2 linked regions of the Coturnix japonica genome follow. The protein of the gene in region 1 purifies or fractionates together with the protein of each later gene. This does not show direct contact. Links are inferred from orthologs where the notes say so. Each region holds a gene or a part of one and is shown in the gene's direction. Other genes may lie near its edges.

Region 1 (4,560 bases):
TAGGTTACTTAACAGAGTAAAGTTATCTGGAAGCATCCCTGCCTTCCCACCATCACACCATTACCTTGAGTATGTATATTAAAATGCACATTACACTGTACATTTTATACCATGAACCAGATGTGGGGCATTCAGAACAGTACGGCCATTTACTCACCTACAGGAGTTTCAGTACACTTTTTATTTGGTTTTTAAACAAGCTTACAACTGAAAGGAGAAGAGTTGAGATGTCAAAGTAACGTTGTTAACACCCATAGAACAGAGGCATCCAAGAAGCATCTGGATAGAGAGCTAGAAGATATGGTTTAGAGGTTTTCTGTAGGTATGGTAAAGGGAGGACGGTTGGACTAGATGATCTTGTAGGTCCTTTTCAACCTTGTGATTTTATGAGGCATCATTTGAAGAGACAGGTTATATATTACATATATATATATATTACACATTCTCAGAAGGGAGACAGAAGTTGCACACAGCTTCAACTCATGAGCAAAATCAAGTTCATAGAAGAGCAGGTACCAGGCTTCTCAGCCCAAACTCTATGCTGCATAGAACAGCTTCCAAAACGAAAGCTGGGATTGTTCTGACAACTCTGTGCTGTGTTTGGGCAGCAAATCAATTGCAAATTGAGGAAGCTGTTCAGAACTAAAGACAACTGCAGACCACAAGCTTCACTTAAGCAACCCGATGAGTGCATGGGCGGGAAGAGGATGAGGAACAGCTGTGCAAAGTTGGGTTTCAGCAGCACCGAGCTGCCCAAAGAGCGACTTGCTTGCAGGCAAACAGCTTAAAGGGGACTCAGAAGTTATTTGACGTTTGACCCAACGCTACGGCCCCCCGCCCCGGATTTAGTGCTGGTGAACGGGAGGGTCAGAGGGAGCGAAAGGAAGGAGCGGGCAGCGTGATGGAAAGGGAAGGGATGACATCACGGGGAAAGCAGCTCCAAGCCGGGCGTCCCGCTCCGGCCTCCGAGGGCCAGGCTGGAAAGAGAGGTTGCACCGGGCTCAGCACAGCCTCATCACAACGGAGGGAGAAACGCGGCGGAGGGAGGAAAGCGAGGGGGCGGCGAGGCCTGGGCCGGAGGAGCGCAGGAAGGGAGGCGGCGGGGAGGGCCGCGGAGGGAAGGGCTCCGGGAACGAGCCCGCCGTGCGGGAGGCCGAAGCCCGAGGGGTCCCGGCACCGCCTGCACTTACCTCCCGCACGGAGCGGCCGCGGCCTCGGCTGCTGGGAGCGGCGCCGGACCCAGCCCGTCCCTCCGCCGGACGCCGCTGCCCGCGGGTGGGAGGCGGAGGGCGAGTGAGGCCCAACCCCGCACGGCCAGCGCACGGCCCCGCCCCCGTGCTGCTATTGGTCAAAGCACGGCCACAAGGCAAGCCCCGCCCCCAGCGGGACGCTCGGCAGCCAATCCGCTGCCTCGCCTGTAGGCACTAAAAAAGGGCATGGCGGCTCCCGCATTGGCTGGGAGAGAGCTCACTCCTTCGGCATCTCATTGGCTTGCGAGGTTTGCAATCTTGTCCTCTAAGCCCTTTGATTGGTCCATTCTAAGGCGAGGGGAGACTGCTCCTCGCGCTTAGCAGCCACTGAAACAGACGGGATTGGTTGCGGGAAGGTTCCGCCGCTTCTCATTGGCCGCCGCTCGGGGCTGGCGCGCTGAGTCCCGGTGACGTTGACGTGACGCCGCAGCGAGCGGACCGACCTGCTTCCCAAGATGGCGGCGCGCAGAGCGCGGGGGCCGCGCTGTCGTTAGAGGCCCGGCGCTCCACAACGCTCCGCTGTCCCACGCGAGGCCTGTGAGTGCGCGGGGAGCTGGGCGGCCTTCTACGGGTGGGGGCCCGCTCCTGAGGCGGGGAGCGGGGGCACCGGGTGTCTGTGTGAGCGGGGGAGGTGGCACGGAGCCGGGTGCGAAGGCCGCTCCCTGAGGGGAGTGCGAGGGAGCCGTGATCGGGGACCCCAGGGCTCCTCGGGGCTGGCGGGGTCCGGAGGGGGCGGCCCCGGGGCGCTGTGTGCCGGGGGGGGGGCGGGGAGAGGCGGTGTCGGGGCTGCGGGGCTCCGCACGCGGAAGTGGCTGTGACAGAAGCGGGCCCGGCTCTTTAAAAAGCTCCTTAAAAGTCGCCGTGGGGAGGAACCGAAACGGCTGCAGAGCCGTAAATGAGGGGGGGAGCCGGACAGAGCTGTAAGCGGCTGTTGGCCTGTGTGTGACAGCGGGCACAGGGCTGTGTCAGCACGGCGAGATGGGGAGGCCCTTGAGTGCAGTGATTGTAGGTGGCACCTGACCAGACAGACCTATCTCAGTTGCCTTGATCTTCATGATCTTTTTAACATGCATCTCTACTCTACTGTTTTTTTCTTAAGTAACTCAAGTGCAGATGATTTAACAAAGGTTTTATCCAAGTGTTGCCATTCTGGTAGTGTTTCCAAGAGACCCAGTAAAGTGCTGACAATAGCAGGACACGGGGAAATGGTTTTAAATTAAAAGAGGGAAGATTTAGGTTGGATGTTAGGGGGAAGTTCTTCTCTAGGAGAGTGGTTAGACCCTGGAACAGGCTGCCCAGGGAGGTTGTGGATGCCCCGTCCTTGGAGGTGTTCAAGACCAGGTTGGACGGGGCCCTGGGCAACCTGATCTAGTAAAGGTGTATGTTTGGTGGCCCTGCCAGGCAGGGGGGTTGGAACTACATGATCCTTGAGGTCCCTTCCAACCCGGGTCATTCTGTGATTCTGTGTTTAAATTCCTTTCAGGCTGACCTAACATATGTGTCCTGGTTTATGAAGAGTGATTTGATTTCATCTCCCTCTTTCAGCTGTTCAAATCTTGCTGCTGCTATCACTAAATTGTTCAGTCTTATTTTATGGACAAAATGGATTAAAGTTGTTCTACAGAAAAGTAGCAGGTGCTTTTGATAAAACGTTGAAGTTTCTCTATCAAAGAATTGCAAAAGTAATCATATATAAATCTAGTCTTTGAATTGTATTTGCATTATGTCAGGAAGATGAAAACGTGGTTAAATATTACTTGTCTGTGAGCATGGAAAAAAGATTCCCCTTCATTTTAACATAAGTTCTTTTTGCTTTTCTTAAAGGTTCCAAAGCTCCTAACTGGAAACTTTTTTGAAGCCATATCAAGCAAGATCAGTTCTAATAAATGAAGGAGAATAAAGAAAACTCCAGCCCTTCTGTAAACTTGGCAAATCTGGACCATACAAAGCCATGCTGGTACTGGGATAAGAAAGATTTGGCACATACACCTTCACAGCTTGAAGGGCTTGATCCAGCCACCGAGGCACGGTACCGCAGGGAGGGAGCCAGGTTCATATTTGATGTGGGAACACGTTTAGGGCTGTATCCTTTAAACTCCTGATAAAGTGTTGATGAACGGGGGTTTTAAGAGTTAAATATTGCAGAATATGTGTAGCTAGTTGTTCTAATGTTTCTTTATCATGAATCAAAAATCTTTCTGAGTGTTACTTGATAGTTTTAGCCATTTGTTGGGTAATCAAGGTGTTTTCTGAGAAGCAAGAGAGTTTAGTTTTGTCAATTATGGATATTCTGGCGGTTACCAGATATGGCCTCTTATATGATTTCTCAAACTTTGAATTTTATGTTTATTTTTCTATATTGTTTAACTTTGGAGATTCCAACCTGTGATCCACCACCCCCCACTTTGTTTTTCTTATAGGGTGGAATCTACAACTTTATGTATGTTGGTAATTTCTCCCCATTGTCTCAACTCATGGATACCACTCAAACTTTTTGCTTGCTATATCCCTGTTACTTCTTTTAATCCCGTGAGTTCTTTGTTTAATAGATCTTGAAGATATAATTTTGCATTTATTCTGGCAAAGAATAGTAGGGAGCCCGTTCATGTTGCAGCTGTGTTTGTAGGTATGAATATTTAGTAACTATTTCCTGCAGTAACAGTTTCATGAGGTGTGATACAAAGCGACACTTTTACTCCTGTTTGTGCCTAATTCTGCTTTTGACCTTCTTGATGATGGTGCTTATCACGCAGATGACCACGCATAGATGTGATATGGGCTTTTCTTACTCCCAGTAAATGCTTTAGGTGTCGGCTGCATCTGGATAGAATTTGCACAATCCTAAGGGGGTGTGGCTTCTGTTTCTCTTTTAATTGCAGTGTTTTTCAGCCAGTCGCTGAGTGGACAGTTCCTTGAGATATTTGATATATCAGAGTGTATCTTTTTCATTGGGTGTGTTTGATTTTACATTTGTTCTGTGACTTTCTTGAAGTTCCTTATCCTGCACCACAGACACTATGATACTTTAGCAACAGGAATAATTTATTTCCATCGGTTTTATATGTTTCATTCCTTCAAACAGTTCCCAAGATATGTAAGTATTTACAATATTGATTACCTAATACTGTGATTACATGAAGGATAGGCTTTCTGAAATGACTACAAGTCGAGGGCATTACTCCTTGCACAGCTCTTGCTGAATAAAATGATTAAATATTAACTTTTTATCTCTTATCAACACAGCTCCTGTTTATTCACACATTTTTTTATGGTTGGAAATGTGTTTGTGTTGGTAACATCTTGCTGATGC
Region 2 (4,519 bases), on another chromosome or scaffold:
CTGCCTCCCACTCCTTTCTACCCTCACCAAGGTATTTCAAAGCTGCATCTGACTGAGATAACACTGAGTGTTGAGCATCACTGTAAAGGAAACCCCAGCACTTCTCACCATGACTTGACGGACCAGCTTCATGGTTTCAGTCCAAGGTCTGTTTTGGTTGTACTTTGCATGAAGTCTTTCTAAGAGAGCACTCATCTTATTCAGCTTCTCTGCCTCTGTCAGACAAAGCGGAATGAAAACATAGAAACAAAAGAGAACGTGAGCTGATTGCACAGCCCTTCCAAGCCGGGACACACTCAGCCTTTATAAATGTGTGCTGAATCCAATCTATACATTGTGGGGCTCTAAAACTCATTGTAGCACTTTATTAAGTTACATTGTTATGGAAGGCATCTCCCTGATACCAGGTATTTCTGGCTCCAACACAAGTCTATGGCAACATAACTGCCATAGAACATGACCCTACAAGGCCTATAGAATCAGAAGGGTTTATAAACTGATACACACAGATGTCATGGACTTAATGCCAACCCCATCAAATCAAAGCAGAACAAACAACCGAACGGTTCGCTACCACAGGAGCCCATCAGCCTTTATTTCCATCCACCACAGCCCCGCTCTGGAGCTGCTTAATGCCCAGCTTTGAGACCCATTGAGACCCATGGGGACCCCATTGAAGCCCATTCAGACCCATAGAAACCCACTGGGACCCATAGGGATCCATAGAGACCCAAAGTGGGGAGGGGACCCGACGACCCACACATGGTGAGTATGGACCCATAGGGACACATAGAGACCCCATAGAGACCCATAGGGACCCATAGAGATCCCATAGAGACCCATAGGGACCCATAGAGACCCATAGGGACCCATAGAGACCCCATAGGGACCCATAGGGACCCATAGGGACCCATAGAGACCCCATAGAGACCCACTGGGACCCCACGGCCGGGCTCCGCCGTTCCCTGCAGGCCCAACCGCCGTCCCTCGAGCTGTGGAACCCCCCCCATCCCGAGGAGGCCGGGCCTTCCCTCCGCCTCCACACAGCGCAGCCCCGCTAGGCCGCACTCACCCTCAGCGCCTCCCGGCACCGCCTTCATGCCTCAGGGAGGGGAGGGGCGGCCCGCGGCGGAGCCACAGGGCCGGTATCACGTCGATAAACGGGAAGGGATGGGGATAAACCGCGGCCGGGCCGCTCCGCTCCGGCCTCACACGGCGGCGCCCGCCGCCATCCCTCCGGCCGCGGCTCCCGCTTCTCGCGAGAACTTCTGAGTCTCGCGAGAGGTAGGGAGTCATGGTGAGAAGGGGGAGTGATTAGGGGGCGGGGCGTTGCGCTCAAGCCCCGCCCCCTGGATGCTGATTGGTGCTGAGCGGGCGGAAGGGGCGGGGCTTCGTGCGCTCCCCGGGACGGAGTAAAGTTCGTTCTCAGACCTCGCGAGAAGACGGTGCGCGCGCGCGCACTCCCTTCCGCCTTCCCAATTCTCAGCGCTTGAAATCTCGCGGGGGGAGGGCTCAGGCCGAGTCTCGCGAGAAGCAGCAGTTATCTCGCGAGACTTGGCGGGTGCCCCCCTTGGGCCGAGGAGCCGTTTCGCTTTGGGAAGTGAGCGGGGGGCGCTGGGCCGGGCCGGGGCGGCGGGGACCGAACGGGGCCGCACGGTGGGAACCCGGTACTGAGGGTTGGGACAGGGCGGGAGGGAACCGGACACAACGGGACCGGGAGGGATCGTGGGCCCAGCTCCCGCCTTCCCGGGGCTCCCCCCGCGGCGGCGCTGCCCTCCGGGCCTGGGCCCCTCGGATGAGGCGCTGAGGCCCGGTGTCCTTCCCCGCCGCTCCCGGTTCCGTTCCTTTCCCATTCTCCCTCTCCCCGTTGTTCCCTTCCTCCTCGCTCTCTCCGTCCCGCTCCCCATGCAGCAGGAGGTGCCGGGGGGCGGTGAATGGTTCGAATAGAGGGAGGCTGAGGGAGTTGGAAAGTCGAGGAGGATTTGGAGGAGCGCCCCCGCCTCCCCCTGTCCCAGCACAGTGGAGGAGGAGGAATGCCAAACCAAGAGAGACATGGGGGGAAGAAGGATGGGGGCGGCGGGGGGACCTCGCTGCACTCATCGGGCAGCTCCAATAGCAAGGAGAGGCACCGGGTGGCTTCAAGGCATAAGAGGCATAAATCCCGGCACTCCAAGGAGTCACCGTTGGCCGCCCAAGAGACGGCGGCGCCTCTGGGAGCTGTGATCAAACCGTTGGTGGAATACGATGATATCAGTTCGGATTCGGATACGTTCTCGGATGATTTGGCCCTTAAGTTGGACAGGAGGGAGAATGAGGAGAGGAAAGCGGATAGGAGCGAAAGGACGCAGAAACATCGACACCACCAGCACAAACGTATCCGTGAGCTGATGAAGAGCAAACAGGCAGAGAAAGAGAGGAAGTTGGAAAAGAGCCTGGAGGCCTCCAGCAGGTCCGGGTCTACCAAGGACAGGGTATCGGGGTCCTCTAAGAGACTGCTTGAAAGCGAGGAGCACCCGAAGGCCCCGTCCTCAAAGAGCAGCAACAAGGAATCCCGCTCAGCCAAAGCGCACAAGGAAAAGTCCAGGAAGGATCGGGAGCTCAAGTCCAGCCACAAAGAGCGAAGTAAAAGCCATCGGAAAAGGGATGCTCCCAAAAGTTATAAAACCATTGACAGTCCGAAACGGAAATCTAGAAGTCCCCATAGAAAATGGTTGGACAGCCCAAAATTGGATGACAGCCCTTCTGGAGCTTCCTACGTCCAGGAGTATGACCTCAGCCCGCCCCGCTCTCATACGTCCAGTACCTACGATCCCTATAGGAAGAGCCCCGGCGGCTCGTCACGCCGGCAGTCCATCAGCCCACCCTACAAGGAACCCGTGGCCTACCAGTCCAACACACGGTCTCCCAGTCCCTACAGCCGGAGGCAGAGGTCCATAAGCCCCTATAATAGGAGGCGCTCGTCGAGCTATGAGAGGGGGAGTGGATCGTACAGCGGGCGCTCACCGAGTCCCTACAGCCGAAGGCGCTCCAGCAGCCCTTTTGCTGCCAAGCGTTCCGTGAGCCGAAGCCCCATAGCCAGGTGTGTGCTCTCCACTGTGACTTCTTCCTCTTGGGGACTGGGGGAGGGACTGGGGGGGGGGAAAGGATGCATTGGGGTGGCTGGGTGTTAACCCTATTCTGCATCTGGATTGGGCCTGCTCTGGAGCAGTGCCATGATTTGGCAGCACGGTGTGTAATCACTCTGGGTCAGGTTCGTTGCTGTTTCCTGCAGTGGTGCTCAGCCTTGAGGAAACACCTCCTGGCTGGCACTGAGCAGCATCCATGTTGGCTCCCAGCAGTGGCCAGGGACAGAGCGAGCCCCGGGGATTGAGTTACACTCACCTCTGGAGGTGGCCCCCTGGCAGGGGGGGAGCTCTGTGCAGCACAGGGCCCGGATGCTCCTCAGTGCTGTGCAGCTCAATGGGAGGAATGTGTTCACCTCTGCTGGAACCCCTTATCTGTTTGCTGCGTGTGGAAATCTGATCTCACTCTTTAGGAGGTTTGTTTGTATTCTGTGTGTTTTGCTCTTTCTGAACTGACTTTTTTTCTTTCCTCTCTCCCTGAATTAGATGAGCGCATGTAAACTCCATCTTTTCAGCTTAAACTTTTCCTTTCTCAGTACTAGAGTTACTACTTTCCCTTCTGAAATTGGGGCATTCTGGAAAAAACAGGTAGAAATCATCTACATTTTGTCTTTCTTTAGATAGTAATCTTGTTACAGAAGGAAACTATTATTTGAAGGCTGTGTTGACTCTGTTTTATTTCAGATGCTCATTAATCTTCCTGTTACATACACAAATATGTGGTCTAATGTTTTTTCTTTCTAGCTTTGGATTCTGTTAAGTGAGTTTCCTGTTGTCACCATGGGTGCTGCGGAGCTTTGGTTGTAGCTCCATGGCAATTAAGATGCGACCTGGAATGTAATAACTATAGAACTGCTCTGCACTGTGCTGCATCCTCTGCTCCAAATATGAGCTGTGTGGAAGGAGGCTGCTCCAGGATGTGCTTGTGAGCAGCAGGTCTCTATTCCTTGGGGGTTTCTTGAGTTGAGCCTTTACTCTTAAAGCTTTTCCCTTGAGGTATTTTGTTGTCCATGGGGCAGTTGAGTTACAGCCTCTGTCCTCACTGTGAGAGATGCACTGTTTTCAGCTTCCTGGAAGCTGTTAAGTAAAATCTACCTCTTCTCCTGTGATATTTGGAAGCAGAAGTTATCCTGGCCCTCTCTTAAATCTCTGAGGTAATGAGGGATAGTCCTTGACATCTCTTTACCCTCCCCTCTATCCTTTCTGCTGTATGGTTGCACAGCTCTTGGAGACTCTTTGCTAATGCTTTTGGAAGAGTAAAACCAACAGTTATACTTCATGGTATGGTTGTGTGTTATGGCATCTGTTTAATGTCCACCTTTAGTCCCATGCAGGAGGAAACCCACCTGGCAACTAAAGTGTGTATGAGAGGTTCTGTCCCCAGGCTGCTCTGTTGT

What was found.
Region 2: the proteins of CCNK (region 1) and CDK12 purify together in Homo sapiens (affinity purification with mass spectrometry; 6 studies listed by BioGRID and IntAct, with this or other methods). This does not show direct contact. The link is inferred for Coturnix japonica from reciprocal best matches to the Homo sapiens genes CCNK and CDK12.

The regions. Positions count from the first base shown.
Region 1 is NC_029520.1:43,658,293-43,662,852, forward strand, and holds the start of CCNK (cyclin-K), read left to right. Parts: upstream 1-1,652; 5' UTR 1,653-1,787; intron 1,788-2,866; exon of another isoform or gene 2,867-2,885; intron 2,886-3,074; 5' UTR 3,075-3,136; coding exon 3,137-3,333; intron 3,334-4,262; coding exon 4,263-4,344; intron 4,345-4,560. UniProt on the Homo sapiens protein: Regulatory subunit of cyclin-dependent kinases that mediates activation of target kinases.
Region 2 is NC_029542.1:3,844,441-3,848,959, forward strand, and holds the start of CDK12 (cyclin-dependent kinase 12), read left to right. Parts: upstream 1-1,535; 5' UTR 1,536-2,033; coding exon 2,034-3,079; intron 3,080-4,519. Other genes in the region: MED1 (mediator of RNA polymerase II transcription subunit 1), read right to left, coding at 109-215, 1,073-1,100. UniProt on the Homo sapiens protein: Cyclin-dependent kinase that phosphorylates the C-terminal domain (CTD) of the large subunit of RNA polymerase II (POLR2A), thereby acting as a key regulator of transcription elongation.